Linked DNA regions of Elephas maximus indicus. The main gene of each other region encodes a partner of the protein of the gene in region 2 in a complex. Links are inferred from orthologs where the notes say so. Each region holds a gene or a part of one and is shown on either strand. Other genes may lie near its edges.

Region 1 (7,642 bases), on a different chromosome or scaffold from region 2:
TTTGAAATTCTGTTCCATCTTTTTCCTCTTTTTGATCAGGACTCGTCTATTGTATTGAGTCCTTGATCAAAACATTCAGTAATGGTAGCCAGACACCATCCAGTTCTGGTGTCCTGGCAAAGGAAGTAATACTTCATGATATGATATTTTATATTTTTATTGTCTGTCTCCGTATTAGAATGTAAGTTCTATGAAAGCAGAAATATGCCTTGTTCTCTGGTATATTTCCTTAGGACAGTGCCTGGTACAAAGGAAAAACTCCATGAATATTTATTAAATGAATGGATACTATGCTTTTATTTACTCACTTCTGTTTTCAGGGCTATAACGAGATGGTTGAGATGCTACAGTCCAAATGGAAAAGGCATAGAGTTTTCTCTATTGTAACGTGCAGCAAAAGGACCCTTAGCTGCCAACCCGTATGAAACATCTGGGCCAATAGTAGATTCCCAACATCAACTTTAGGTAAGAACTTAACGAAGAAGAAACTCCTTCTTCTTTGTCCTGAGAATTCTCCCAGAGCATAAAAAATTTTGTCCTGAGAATTCTCCCAGAGCATAAAAAATAACACTGCTTAGGGTTTCGATGATTGTGGCAAAAATATCCACATCTGAACAATCCAAGCAAATATTGTCATCTTCAAAGCAGTGATTTTAGAGGCTGCAACTTTTGGTGACAGTGCTGCCAAGACTCAAAACAGGTGTGGATGTCTTTCTGGAGCTAATATCCATGTGCCAACTCTGAACTGGTGTCCACATTCAAGCGCTCATTCGGTAAGGTAGGGATGTATTATCATTTCCATTTTAAAGGCAGGGAAACTGAGTCTCAGAGAAGTTAAGTGACTTACTCTGGATCCGTTGACTTTGAGTCTCTTATTCATGAGTAAATTCAACAGTCTTTGAAAGTGTGTTTGGTTTTCAGAAATGGCCAAATGTCTCTTGGATACAAGTAAGGCAAATTAAGTAGATTTGCAAGGAGGGTAATAGAGGTCCTGATGAGTAAAACCTCTACAAAGCATGTCGTAGTTGTTGTTAGCCGCCATTGAGTCGGACCCTGACTCATGGCAACCCCATGTACAACAGGATTGGACCACTGTGATCCACAGGGTTTTTTCATTGGCTGGTTTTCGAAAATAGATCTTCAGGCCTTTTTTCCGTGTTCATCTTAGTCTGGAAGCTCCGCTGAAACCTGTTCGGCATCACAGCAACATGGAAGCTTCTCGCCTGACAGGTGGTGGCTGTCCTTGCAGTTCATTGGCTAGAAATTGAACCTGGGTCTCATGCATGAAAGGTGAAAATTTTATCACTGAGCCACCACTTTCCTCCTACAAAATATCGAAGGGGCCTTAGAGGTTATCCAGACTAAAAAAAAAAAACTTCAGAAAATCTGCTCAAGGTGCCACTCATTGGTTTTTTGTTTTGTTTTAGGGAGATTCATTTCATGTTAGACATAGAAACATATTCCAACCTCTGCCGCACACACCTGGTACAGAGAAGGTCAGAACTGATAGAAAACTCAGACTGAACGCACTGCTGTCCAGTTGATGCCAACTCATAGCAACCCCATAGGACAAAGTAGAACTGCCTCATAGGGTTTCCAAGGCTATAAATCTTGACGGAAGTAGACTGCCACATCTTTCTCCCCTGAGCAGCTAGTGGCTTTGAACTACCGACCTTTTGGTTAGCAGCTGTGTGCTTTAACCACGGCACCACCAGGGCTCCTTAGAGCTGATGGAACAGCTACTCAAATCTCTTTCAGAGGGCTTAATGGTGTTTCAGAGCAGCAGAACTTCCAGTTTTACATCTCTGAGAAACAAAGGAGGCGGGGCAGAACGTCTTTGCTTTAGAAGAAAAGCTATTGATCACCAGAAACATACCAGAACATTAATATATCAGAAGAGTGTAAGGACTGGAGAAGCCAGTCGTTTCCCTCGCTGGCTGTAACGCTGTGGAGAGTGGGCATCTGCACTGTGAATAATTGTACTGTACAAATTGGCGGAGGGGAGAAGCCCAACAGCAAGCTATTCCAGGTCGACCAGATGTCTTGAAGGGTGTCTGTCTCCCTACAAGTCAACACTATGTCTATTTCTTGTCATTTTCACGACCAGGTGATTAGCTGTTTGGTATGGAATTATGTTTTTAAGAAGAAAGCCCTACTGTTCTGTTCTCAAAAGGAAAAACTTTTCAAAATACAGTTTCTGAAGGCATTGTTTCATCCCCCTTTCCTGATCCAAAACTGGTCTCCTAGTGCCTGTGGCCGCTCTTTTGGGAAGGGGTAGAGAGAGTGAAGGAAAAAAAGAACTGGAGAATGTGGGAGTGTCCTCATTGCCACATTAGCAATTCAAAGGACATGCAAACAGTGAAGGCTGCTGAGGAAGGAAGAGTGTGTGTGTTTGGGGGTGGGGGGCGTGGGCAAAGATAAGCCCTGAGGTCAGAGACAGAGCAGCACCGATGGGATGCCAGACCGATTGGATTTGTCTGAGAATCTGATGAACATAAAATTTGTCCATTCAACAAATATTTATTAAGGTCTTTCTACATCCAAGGAAAGAAACCCTGGTGGCACAGTGCTTAAGTGATCGGCTACTAACCAAGAGATCGGTGGTTTGAACTCGCCCAGCAGCTCCGTGGGAGAAAAACCTGGCCATCTGCTCCTGTAAAGATTACAGCCAAGAAAACCCTGTGGGGCAGTTCCACTCTGTCATATGGGGTCTCTGTGAGTCCAAACGGCACTTAACAACAACATATCCAAGGAACTGTCCTTGACATTTGAGACCCATCAGTGAAATCCATCCTTGCCCTTGTGGAGCTTTCATTCCAGTGCAGGAATCAGAGAAGAAACAATAAACATAAAAATAAATTATCTAGTGTGTTGGTGGGTGATAAGTGCTATAAAAAAAAAAAAAAGGAAACAGGAAAAAATGGAGCAGTTCATGGGGACTCAGAGGCCAGGGGATGCAGGCCTGGAAGTTTCAGATAGGCTTTTCAGAGGTGCTTTTTGGAGGCGACATTTGTGGAAAGGCCTGATGGGGTGAAGGAGCTGGCCATGCAAATATCTGAAGGAAGAGTATTCCAGGCAGAGGGAACAGCCATTGCAAAGAGCCTAACGTGGCGGGATACCTGCCCAGTTTGAAAAGCAGCAAGGAAGCCAGTGTTGCTGGAGCAGGATGGGAGGGGAGAGAAGAAGGGAGGTCAGATAGGGTCAGAGAGATCAAGGGCCAGGGTGACTAAGACCTTGTTGGTTATCGTAGGGGTGCAACTGTAGCTCTCAGGAGAATGGACAGCTTTTGCAGGGCTTGGATCCAGCAAGTAACATTATCCGACCCACGTTTAAAAAACATTTCTTTGACTAGTACATTGAAAATAGATTGTGGCATAAAAATAAAAGATTTCTCTTTTTTCAACATGTGCCTTACTTATATGACAGGGTTGCTATGAGACTCAATTGCAGAACTGTTTTAAAAATGTTCAAGCACTGTGCAGACCCAAACTATAATTATTATTTTACACAAACAATAGGGGGTTCACAAGCCAAGGTTCCCCTGGCCTCCTCTGAGCCATGAAATTATAGTTTATCTACAAGAAGCTCAAGGGACATTGATTCCATTTACTTCAAGAAAAAAAAAAAAGGTAAGCATTGTACCTGTGAGCTTTAAATCATTAGGTTTTGCAGATTGCTAGTTATTTTATGTTTAATTTTTGAAAGAATTGCTTTTTTTTTTTTTAACTTGGAAGTACCTGGCTTGAATACTGAAGACTTTCAATCCAGCCTCAGACCAGAAGAGGAGCAGAAGTCTGAGAACTTTAAACCCATTCTGTTTTCCCTGATCCCCTCCAGAGCTAGCTGCTGTGGCTAGCTCCTCCAGTATTTCGGGGGTGGCAGCGTTTCTTTGCGGTGGCCCTGCTGGCAGATGAACGCTGCTGGGTGGGAGACACATTTTGGGAGACCAGCTGACCTTCCTTCAGAGAAGCTTGGGGGAAATTCTGCAAGGATTTTGGAGAAGAGGTCCTGAGACTCCAAGAGAAAGAAGAGAGAGGGGCTTCCTGGGAGACAGAACTGAGTTACTGAAGGGGGAGGCGGGGTAGGTGTGCTAAATGGCTGCAAGTTGGAGTTTACTCTGCTTAAGGTGAGTGTTTACGTTTTCTCTGCTTTCGTTTTTTTCAGGCGAGGGTTGGTTTTGTATTTTGTTTGTTTCCTTCTTCACCCACCGCTCAATCTGAAAAAGCAGCTAGGTCTGCAGGCCAGACCCCATTCTCATCCCTTCTCTATAAGTCTGAGCCCCCCATTCAAACGAGCCCCCCCCGCCCCCTCCACCGCGGGTTGCTGGGACCCCCTGCTCGCCTGTCCCCCTCTAGCTGTTATCGCTTCTTCCCCCGCCCCCAACACACACACAAGGCTCTGGTTCTAATTGTTTTGATTTCGCCGACGCCCCCCTGGCGCTGATTCCTAAGACACTCCTTCCCAGCCGGCCGGGCTGGCACGTCTTGCCCCAGCAGGTCGAGGAAGGCAGTGAGAACTCTGCGCTTTCCAAATCGCGCCCACCGCGCTGGGTATCTCCCTCCCCTTTCCTTGGACCAGCGATCTTGCCTGCACCCTCCCGGATCGTCCGCCTGGGCTACGGGTGGTTGTGGAACCCACTGAGGCTTTGGGCAAACTGCGGTGGCCCGGCCCTCGTCGGGCTTGGGGAGGGCGGGGTGGCGTTTGCGGGCCCTCAGTGTGCCAGAGACTGTTGGAGCCGATCTTGCCGCTCGAGAGGCGCACACAGAGGGTGACAGGAGCGTGTGCCCCCTCCCCGGGCTGTGGGGGTGGGGACAGGAACGGGGACTCGGGCAGGAAGGCGGCGGGGAGGCAACTGCAGTGCTGCGAGGGGTGCGTGAGCCGCGCCAGTAGCCCGTCGCCTCCCAGTGCATCTGCGCTCCCCGGAGCGCGGGGCACGGGTCGCGGCTGGAGCAGGAGGGACCCCCGCGCCGCCTCGCCTCCCGCCGCCAGGGCGCACGGGGCGGGGCGCACGATCGGCCGCCCCCGCCCGCGCCCAGCCCCTCTCCAGTGACTTTTCCCGGCGCGGCGCCGCTCCACGGTCCTGCTCGGAATGCACACGCAGCTCCCGGCCGGAGGGGGGTAGCAGCCGCCGCCTCCAGGTGCCGGCTCAACCGGGCCGCCGCCGCCACCCGCCGTCGCCGCCACTCGAGCCCCGGGCGCGCCGAGGTCCCGGTCATGGGGCTGCCGCTGCGGCCGCTGCGGTCTTGAGGAGGGGCAACGGAAGCAGCGCTGCGCTTTCGGGAGTCCCCGGCTGCCCGCATGGATGTCTTCAGCTTTGTGAAGATTGCAAAGCTCTCGAGGTAGGATCCGCGCTGGTTCGCTTGCACCCGGGGCCGCCACGACCACGGGCAACTTGGCGCTTGATTTTGCGGGAGGTTTGGGGAACAGCAAAAGCTGGGGACAACAGTGGGGCTTCAGATCGGACTGGAACGGCGTGGCCAGGGGCTATAGCGTTCAATCTATTTCTCACTGGTTCCCCGGGCATAGACTGCACACGCAGAGACCCACGCGCGCTCACGCACACACGGATCTTCACGACAGTTTGTTTTCCCTTAGGAAAAGCCCCAGTGGTACTTGGGGTCACATGTGCAATTCAGGACCAAGAAAAGATGGTTGTAGTTGCTGCTGCTGCTGCTTCTAGGACAAGCCCAGAGTGCTTGTAGCTTGGGTACCTGCCTTCCAAGTAGCAGCAACATAAAGTGTCCCTGTCGCCCCTTACCCCCAAATTAGACGTCCACACCCGAAAAAGTCCACTTGTAGGTTGACTCAGGTTGAGTGTTCCCACCAGTGACCTAGATGATGAAGTCATGGAGATAGAAGAGAAAGACCTTAAGCCTTTCCCTGGGTAACTATATATTTCTCAGCTTTGAAAGATTTAGAAATTTGTTTCCAAGTGGCTGTGTTGTGGAAACCAAAGAAAAATCCTGGATTCAGGCAGATTTCCTGGGCAGGGCTTGACAGGAGGAGGTACATTCCCACTCTTGGACCGCCTAGCTACTATTATCTGGTCAGAGCATTCCTCCTCAGTCTTCTGCCCTGCTTAGGTTTCTAAGTTGGGCTTCCAAAGTCTCCACTGAGCCCAAGAAGGAAGGTCTGCCGCTTGCAGTGTGGCCTCAACACGAGAAGAGCCCAGTAAGAGAGGTCTCCGAAAACCCTGCCCAACTTTCTCTGCCCAAGTCCCTGGAAGGCCTGGCCTTCTGCCCCTGAGCTCTTTATAGCAGTTACCATCACCACCTTAGGAGGTAGACAGTAGGGTTTTACCAGGATGCAGCTTAAAGACCTGCTAGAAAGACAGAATAATTCTAGGTTTGTCTTCATTCTTTAGTGTTGGGTGGGCCGTGTTGATTGCATCAGGCAGGAACAGGCAGCCTCAAATACCCCGAGTCAGAAACGTATGTTGACTTTGCTTTGCCAAATTACATTTGGGCCATTTCAGAAACATTAAGCTTGGATGTTGTCAGTAGGACATGTCCCTCTCCAGCATCTACAGGTCTTTAGTTATTCTTCCTGCTCGTCTCCACCTTCCCTCTCCACTCACACTGGTCAGTCTTAATATCACCAGCTGATTCCTCTAGGGAAAGGGCCCCACGGTCACTTACCCTGGGTAGGTAGACTTGGGTAAATACATCTGCCTAGAGCCCCCAGGCTCCCACACATCAGAAGACTCATGAGTTAAGCAGTGGGTGATTGTGGTATAGCATTGTTTGGTTTCCCACCGATACCATAGACAGCCATGGCGTCACACCACTTCCTGCGTGCTTCTGCCCATGGCTGGTTTATAAACAGCTGTTAAATCACACATGGATGCGAAATAACTGCGGGTAAGTTTAGAAAGTGCATGGAGCCCTCTGTGTGATGGACAGAGAGATTGGTGAAGGGAAAAGGGACATTCAACCAATAGTATAAAGTAACCAAAATAGTTTGCAGTGCCCTCGGATACTCAAAACAGCAAGCTGAACAAAACATCTAGAGCCTAGGTTTTGTCCTTAAACTTTGGAGCTTGGGAGAGGACAGTGCTGGTGTCAGAGAAAAGAGGTTTTCGACTCAAAGTTTCCTAAATTCTAGGATGCCTTCATGGTGTTAACAGATCTGAGCATTTGCAAAACCCAAGGCGGGTTTGTGAGGGATTAGCATAAAAAAAAAACTCTAGGGAGAGAGTGTGAATTTCAATTTCTATCTTTACTGTCATGCCATAGAGAGTTGATTCTAAAGAGAAGGTGCACATGTCCTGAGCTTATGTGCCCATTAACAAATCTTCCATCCCTAGGAGTTCTTCCTTTTCTTCTGTGTGAGCTCAAAGATGGTCCCCAAGCTGAGCTAGAAACACCTCGAGAGGGCCATCAGCTTGCAGAAACACGTTTGCAGCTGCCTATTTCTGCCCTGCAAGCATTAGAGGGTTGTATGTGTGTGTGTTTGAAACAGTGTTGCAGAAATCAAGTTCTTTTCACAAAGGTGGAGCAGAAAAGTGCTTACATTGCAGGATTTTCCTGATTTCAGAATGGATAATCTTCCTAAGGGATTTAGCTTTGATCAGCGTGGTTACTTGAGTGCTTAAAATTCTCTTGCTTTAGAGGGGAATACGCAGAGTTACCTCAGGCCTGTG
Region 2 (7,891 bases):
AACACAGTGCCTGGCTTTAGTACTTAACAAAAGCACTCAACAAAGTGTAGTAGTCATAATGATAATAGCTGTTGTTAGTATTACAAAATAAAATCTGAGTCTAAATCTATGTCAGGTTTTTAATTTTAAAATTCCAGAGAACTCATTATAACATTTTATCTTTACCATAAGACCAGAAGGACTGGGTGGCACCCAGTTACCATTACTGAACATTTTAATCAGATTCCATAGAAGAATCCTGATCAAAAGGGGTAAAATGCAGAACAGAATTTCAAATTCTCATGGATTCCAGACTTTCCTAGAGCCATGGAGGGTGGATGAACCCCTGAAACTACCGCCCTGAGATAATCTTTAAATCTTAAACCAAAAATATCCCCTGAAGTCTTAAAGCCAAACAATAGTTTTGCTTAACTAGTAAAAAAGGTCTGCCTTGAGCATTATGCTGTTTTAGAAACTATCTATATGGGATCAAATTGACAACAGCAACTCAAAAGATTAGACAGAAACCTTAGAGGGCAATGAGTTTATGTTAATGAGAGGAACAACTCAGAAAAGGAAGGTGACAATGGTTGCACAAACTGAAGAATGTAATCAATGTCACTAAATCGTATTTGTAGAAACTGTTGAATTGCTGTTTTGCTGTGTATATTCTCTACAACAAAATTTAAAGAAAAAAATAAAGCATATGTCCTCCTCCAAGAAAAAAATATCTTTAGAAATAATTAAAAATCTTAGAAATATTTTATGCTTTAAGAACAAGGCCATTTGAAACTACTATATCCTATCATTGTTATAGTTAGCCTAGTACTAAGTCTCAGATTTATTAAAAATACATATATATTTGTAACAATGCATGTCTGGTTTAATAAAAGGAAAACACAACTAAACTGCTTATCCAGCCAAAGAAGATTTGGGGGAAATGCTTCTACCACAACATCACACAACTTTTTACTTTGTAACCACTCCTTATAAATAATAGAGTGAGAAACAGCCTTGCCAAAAGGAGCCCATGGTAAGGTGTATGTAAAGAAGAGCAGGTATGAGGCTGCCCCTGGTGCTCTGCATCTCACACCCCTTTACTTACACACACGCTCTTCTTAGGTTGCTTATTCACCTCTAGATCACTCAAGCAAAGCCACTTACGATAGTGAGAACCCAAGGAAAAGTGGTATCTATCAGAGGTAACCACACTGGCGGTTATCAGGCCAGAAGTCTTCGGTGCACCCTTCTGAAGAGGCTGCTTGAAAATTCAGCGGGTTGTTATATTAACTTCCCCCACTCATCAAAAAGAACTCCAGGAGGTGCCTGACTGAATGAAAGGGAAAGCCAAGAACCTACTCCGTTTAACTCTAGGGAAGGGTTAAATTATGCATTAAGGCAAAGAAAATTTCCATCCTTCCTTTCTCTTTTCTCCTTTTCTTTAACAGAGTTAAAATCATCTAACTGGTTACTATTAAAACATAAAGCAGTTAGAGATTTTCCAATTCTTACTACTTGAAGGTATCCTAGAGGTTTTCGGAGAAGGGGCTTTTAAAAAAAATTCTATGCTTACTAAAAAAAAAAAACTAGTTACTAGTAAAACGTAACTGGTTACTATTAAAACATAAAGAAACTCTGTTTAAGAAAACGAATAAGGAAGGATGGAAATTTTCTTTGCCTTAATGCATAATTTAATCCTTCCGTAGAGTTAAACGAAGTAGGTTCTCTGCTTCCCTTTCCTCAGGCAGGTATAGGAGTTCTTTTCGGTGTGTGTGGGAAGTTAACAAGCAGTCGAATTTTCAAGCAGCCCCTTCAAAGGATGCACCGAAGACTTCATAATCGCCAGTGCGGTTAAAAACCAAAAAACCCAAACCCACTGCCATCGAGTCTATTCCGACTCACAGCGGTTACCTCTGATAAATACCACTTTTGCTTGGGGTCTCACTATCAGAAGCAGCTTTGCTTGAATGATCTGGAAGTGAGTAAGTGTGTGTGTAAGGGGTGTGGGATGCGAAGCACCAGGGGCAGTCTCATACCTGCTCTTCTTCACACCTTACCACGAGCTCGTTCGGCAAGGCAGTTTCACACGCTATTATGCAGAAAGAGTGGTTACAAAGTAAAACTTTTTGTAGCAACTACCAACTTCTATATTATTTTATACCAATTTCTATAGTAAATCAGATAGGTGCAAAAAAAATCACGAATTAAAATACGGTAAGCGCAGGTATTTGACTAAAGTTTTGGCTATCAAGCGCACGGACCAAAAAAAATGAATGCATTGTGCTTCATTATGAATTCCGCAGGGATTCGGATTTTTAATGTGTTTGTTACGCTTCGATTACGTGAGCTGTCACTGTATTCTATTTTCATTTTTAAAAAAGATATTAGGGAACCAAGTTCTTCGGCTTTACTCTCATTTAAATAACAAGAAAACAACTGAGCGTTCGTCCTGGTGATGTGAGCGGCTTCTCAGCCGAGTTTCTGGCTTCTGGAGTCGGGTCTATCCCGAACCCCCAGCCCGACGCCCTCGACGCCGCGTCCCCGCAGCGCCCACAGGTCAGGGAAGCCCCCGGCCCCGCCGAGGACCCCGTCCCCACGCCTCCTCCACCCCGAACCCCGCTCGGCCGGCCTGAACAAAGGAGGTCGCCCCTCAGTCACAGAAGCCGCCCCCCACACGCACACGCTTGCACCCCTCCCTGCCGCCGCCCTCGTGAGGCGCCCCCAGGCGCCCGCAGCTTCCTCCGCGCCCCGCGGCAGAACTCACCTCCAGCGGGCTGGCGGGTTGGGGGTGCGCTGAGAAGCCGCAGGAGCGGCCGCCTCGGGCGACAGGCGGCTGTCCGCGGGCCCTCCCTCAGGCGGGTCGCGGCGCCGCGGGCGGAGAGCCAGGCAGGGGCACCGCGGGAGGCCGGCGCGCGCCCCCCGTCCCCGCCCCCGGCAGGTCACGTGAGCCAGAGCTCCGGGGGCTCTCCTCTCCTCTCCCGCCGTCGCACCGCCGCCGAGCAGCCCGCAGCGCCGCCCGCACTCAGCGTCCTCCCTGCTCTGCGCCTGCGCTGCAGCTCCGGGGGCTCCCATTCAAACCGACCCCGCCCCGCGTCTTTCGGACCGGCCAATGGCCGGGGACGGGGGCGGGGCCGAGCAGTAGTTCGCTCGCTGCCTACTCCCTCTCGGGCGTGGTGCCTTCGGGTCAGGCTGAGGGGAGCTTGGGGGACTTTGCCCTCAGCTGCTCTGACGCCCGTCCTCAACCACCACACTGAAGTAACTTCCCTCTCCTCTTATTTCTTCTTCAGACGCTGAAGAGTGGGGCGATAAATATACGTTCCAGGTAGGGTTCTTCAGACAGGGTCTCGCCTGGACCCCTTTCAAAGATGGGACCGCGAAACAAGTGCCTCCTTGCTTTGAGGCTCGGTGCCGCCTTGTAGAATGAGCATTCACAGCGGCATATGCGGGATGTTTAAGAAAAACAGGGCTCTATGAAAGGAACAGAGGGACCCGTGTGAAAGTCTGAACAAGGCAGCCTCAGTTCTTGAGGTTGTGTCACAATGCTGGCGCTTCCAGCTGTTAAAAACCAAACTTTATGTTGACGACAGAATCTCTGGTTCTTAGGAAAACTGGATGACGATTTTACTCGGTTTCAGGCAACTGAGTTCCAAATATACTGGGAAGTGTAAGTTTTAGTTCCGTTACTTCCCGTCCACGTCGTGTTAATCCCCCCAAATAGGTCTCAGTTTGTTCTCCTTCCCAAATACCAAGACTACAGCCTCTGGGCTAAAGAATCTGATGAATTTAAATTAGATTATTTCTCAAAAAGACATTTCTCCACTGAAATGAGATTTCAATATTTCTACAGGCTTAAGTACGTTAAAGAAAACCCTAATTCCAGGATTTCTCTGAATGATAGCCAAAACCAGTGACCCAAGAAGCTGCTTCGGAAGGTGTTACAACAAAGCAGTTAGAGTATCAGCTTTGGCATCACACTAGACCCGGGTTTGAGTTCCATCTCTGCCACTTACTGCCTGGCTGACTTTGAGCAAGTTAGCCTTAATTTCCTCAACTGGAAACCACGGATAATAAATCCTCTTCTAATAAAGATAGTAAAGTAAGGCTTGTTAGTTAACATAGTGCCTGACACAATAGAAACTGTTCAGTAAATGGTACCTGTTGTCATTGTTATCAACAACCACCTTTAATGTCAGGCTCTCATAAGCAATTGAATTAATTGTCTTACTATTTCAGAGGCAGATATTACAATTCCTTCTTACTCATAAATTCTTCTTGGGTATTAATATGAAAGCTACAAAGGAAATCCAATATATCAAATTCACTATATCCAAAATCAATCATCCCCCCCCAACCCCAGCAAATCTTCTCTTACACATGAGGACCCTATCCCTCATAATAGTCATCTTTATCTTTCCAATTACTCAAGTGGAATTACCTTCTAAAAGGCATAAATTATATTACGTCATTCTCCAAGTACCTAAGGAAAACTTCTCTGAGGATGTAGCATTCAAACTGATAATTGAATCTCGAGAAGAAACCAGCCTTCAAGTGAAGTTCAGGAAAGAGCACACTGGAGGGGGAAGAAAAGCTGAACCCGAGTCTGTAGGGCAAGAACAAGCCTTGTGGGTTTGAGAAACTGGAAGAAGGCTGGGGTGGCTGAAGTGAAGTGAGAGAGAGGAGAACATACAAGATGGAGTCACACCAGATCGTGTAGGCCTTTGTAAGCTAGGGAAATGAGTTTGGACTTTCTTTTCTAAGTGTTACAGGAAACCAGTGGAAGGTTTTAAGCATGGGAGTAACTTAATCCAGTTTCTCTTTTTTTTAAAGAGTGCTCTGGAACAAATCCAGAATTTGAGACATTCTACATGACAGTACAGACTCTTCATAAAAGTAAATGCCATACCACATCACACCCACTAAAATGGCAATAATAATAATTTAAAAACAGAAGTGTTGGTGGGGAAGTAGAGAAACTGAATCCCTTGTACGTTGCTGTGGAGAATGTAAAATGGTTTAGTCACCATGGAAAACCGTTTGGGGGTTCCTCAAAAAGTTAAACATAGATTACCATGTTGTTGTTGCTGTTGTTGTTAGGTGCCATCGAGTCAGTTCTGACTCATAGTGACCCCTATGTACAACACAACAAAACACTGCCTGGTCCTGCATCATCCTCACAATTGTTCTTATGCTTGAGCCCATTGTTGCAGCCACTGTGTCAATCCATCTCCTTGAGAGTCTTCCTCTTTTTCACTGACCCTCCACTCCACCAAGCATGATGTCCTTCTCCAGGGACTGACCCCTCCTGATAACATGTCCAAAGTACGTGAGAGGGAGTCTCACCATCCTTGCTTCTAATGAGTGTTCTGGCTGTCCTTCCAGAACAGATTTGTTCGTTCTTCTAGCAGTCCATGGTATATTCAGTATTCTTCACCAACACCATAATTCAAAAAGCATCAATTCTTCTTATATCTTCCTTATTCATTGTCCAGCTTTCACATGCATATGAGGTGATTGAAAATACCATGACTTGGGTCAGGTGCACCTTAGTCCTTAAATCTCTGCTTTTTAACACTTTAAGGAGATCTTTTGAAGCAGATTTGTCCAATGCAATGCCTCATTTGATTTCTTGGCTGCTGTTCCCATGGGTGTTGATTGTGGATTCAAGTAAAATGAGATCCTTGAAAACTTCAATCTTTTCTCCACTTATTGGTCCAGTTGTGAGGATTTTTGTTTTCTTTATGTTGAGGTGTAATCTACACAGAAGGCTGTAGTCTTTATCTTCATCAGTAAGTGCTTCAAGTCCTCTCCACTTTCAGCAAGCAATGTTGTGTCATCTGCATAATGCAGGTTGTTAATAAGTCTTCCTCCAATTCTGATGCCCTGTTCTTCTTTATGTAGCCCAGGTTCTTGGATTATTGCTCAGCATACAGATTGAATAAGTAAGGTGAAAGGATACAACCCTGACACACACCTTTCCAGATTTTAAACCATGCAGTATCCCCTTGCTCTGTTTGAATGACTGCTTCTTGGTCTAAGTACAGGTTTCTCATATGACCCAGCAATTCTGCTACTGGATATATACCCAAAAGAATTGAAAAGAGGTACTCAAACAAATACGTGTACACTCATGTTTATAGCAGCACTATTCACAATAGCCAAAAGGTGGAAACACTCCAAATGTCCATCAACAGAAGAATGAAAAAACAAACTGTGATATATAAAATATATATATATATTTTTAATACACATACAAGGAAATATTATTTAAGAATAAAAAGGAATGAAGTACTGGTACATGCTACAATGTGAATGAACCACCAAAGCATTACGCTAAGTGAAAGAAACCAGACACAAAAGGTTACGTATTGTATGCTCTCATTCATATAAAATATTAAAAAGATAAATCCGTAAAGATATAATGCAAATATACAAATGACCTGTTTGGGTTGAGACAAATTTGAATAACCAAGTAGATAACACTTATTGCTCCCAGAGAATATCAGTGCTCTCTTGAAGGGAAAAAAAAAAAAGTCTAAAGATTTTGTGTGGAGTTTCCTCAGCAAGAATGTGGACTTGGTAGCTCCGCCTTTTGGAATAAAAGAGGGAGAACATGAGGGGTAGGAGCTTCCCAAAGTAATACCTAAGAACCCTTGGGAAGGAGACCTCAAAATGCAAGGAAAACAGCCTGTTAAAACAGGCTCATAGGGTCACTATGAGTCGGAATCGACTCAACAGCACTGGGTTTTAATCTCTCATTTGGAAGCTGAAATGAATCAATAAATAATGACAGCTAAGATGTATTGGGGAAACCCTGGTGGCGTAGTGGTTAAGTGCTACGGCTGCTAACCAAAGGATCAGCAGTTTGAATCTGCCAGGCGCTCCTTGGAAGCTCTATGGGGCAGTTCTACTCTGTCCTATAGGGTCGCTATGAGTCGGAATTGACTCAACGGCACTGAGTTTTTTTTGGAAGATGTATTGGGGCTAATCATGTTCCAGGCACTGTTCCAAGCACTTCACATATTTGAGGATTATACCTAGACCCTGACTGATATAAGGACTACGTGAATTTATGTATGTAAAGTGCTTTGGACAATGTCTAAAAAACAAAACAAAACCAGTTGCTGTGGAGTCAATTCCAATTCATAGCAACCGTATAAGGCAGAGTAGAACTGGCCTATAGTTTCCAAGGCTGTTATTTTTTTTCTTTTTAATTGTGCTTTAGGTGAAAGTTTACAGTTCAAGTTAGTTTCTTATACAAAAATTTATACACATATTGTTATATGACACTAGTTGCCATCCCTATAGTGTGACAGCACACTCCCCTTCCCACCCTAGCTTTCCCTTGTCCCTCCAGCCAGCTCCTGCCCCTTCCTGCCTTCCCATCCTGCCTCCAGACAGGAGCTGCCCATTTGGTCTCTTTTATCTGCTTGGACTAAGAAGCACACTCTTCATGAGTATTATTTTATGTTTTATAGTCCAGTCTAATCTTTTTTTGAAGAGTGAACTTCAGGAATGGTTTTAGTTCTGGGTAAACACAGCATCCAGGAGCCATGGCTTCGGGGGTTCCTCCAATCTCAGCCAGACCATTAAGTCTGGTCTTTTTACTAGAATTTGAGTTCTGCTCCACGCTTTTCTCCTGCTCTGTCAGGGACTCTTTATTGTGTTCCCTATCAAGGCTGTCATTGGTGGTAGCCAGGCACCATCTAGTTCTTCTGGTCTTAGGCTGATGCAGTCTCTGGTTTATGTGGCCCTTTTGCCTCTTGGACTCATATTTTCCTTGTGTCTTTGGTGCTCTTCATTCTCCTTTGCCCCAAGTGGGTTGGGACCAATTGATTCATCTTAGATGGCCACTTGCTAGCTTTTAAGACCCCAGATGCCAGTCACCAAAGTGGGATGTAGAACATTTTCTTAA

What was found.
Region 1: the proteins of GPSM2 (region 2) and FRMPD4 are in contact, whole or in part, in a crystal structure (PDB 4WND), measured with the Homo sapiens proteins. The link is inferred for Elephas maximus indicus from reciprocal best matches to the Homo sapiens genes GPSM2 and FRMPD4. Residues at the interface, in NP_001307967.1 of Homo sapiens: Leu25, Ala28, Leu29, Glu32, Asp57, Lys59, Thr60, Ser62, Ala63, Ile64, Ser66, Gln67, Asn70, Phe73, Tyr74, His85, Asp88, Ala92, Gly100, Lys103, Asn107, Asn110, Thr111, Lys113, His128, Arg143, Tyr146, Asn147, Asn150, His153; in NP_055543.2 of Homo sapiens: Gln988, Leu989, Leu990, His991, Ser992, His994, Met995, Glu996, Met997, Glu998, Pro999, Glu1000, Thr1001, Met1002, Glu1003, Thr1004, Lys1005, Ser1006, Val1007, Thr1008, Asp1009, Tyr1010, Phe1011, Ser1012.

What each region holds. Positions count from the first base shown.
Region 1 is NC_064846.1:167,817,107-167,824,748, reverse strand, and holds the start of FRMPD4 (FERM and PDZ domain-containing protein 4), read left to right. Parts: upstream 1-4,638; 5' UTR 4,639-5,298; coding exon 5,299-5,339; intron 5,340-7,642. UniProt on the Homo sapiens protein: Positive regulator of dendritic spine morphogenesis and density. Required for the maintenance of excitatory synaptic transmission. Binds phosphatidylinositol 4,5-bisphosphate.
Region 2 is NC_064821.1:172,697,658-172,705,548, forward strand, and holds the start of GPSM2 (G-protein-signaling modulator 2), read right to left. Parts: upstream 3,001-7,891; 5' UTR 2,744-3,000; intron 1-2,743. UniProt on the Homo sapiens protein: Plays an important role in mitotic spindle pole organization via its interaction with NUMA1. Required for cortical dynein-dynactin complex recruitment during metaphase. Plays a role in metaphase spindle orientation.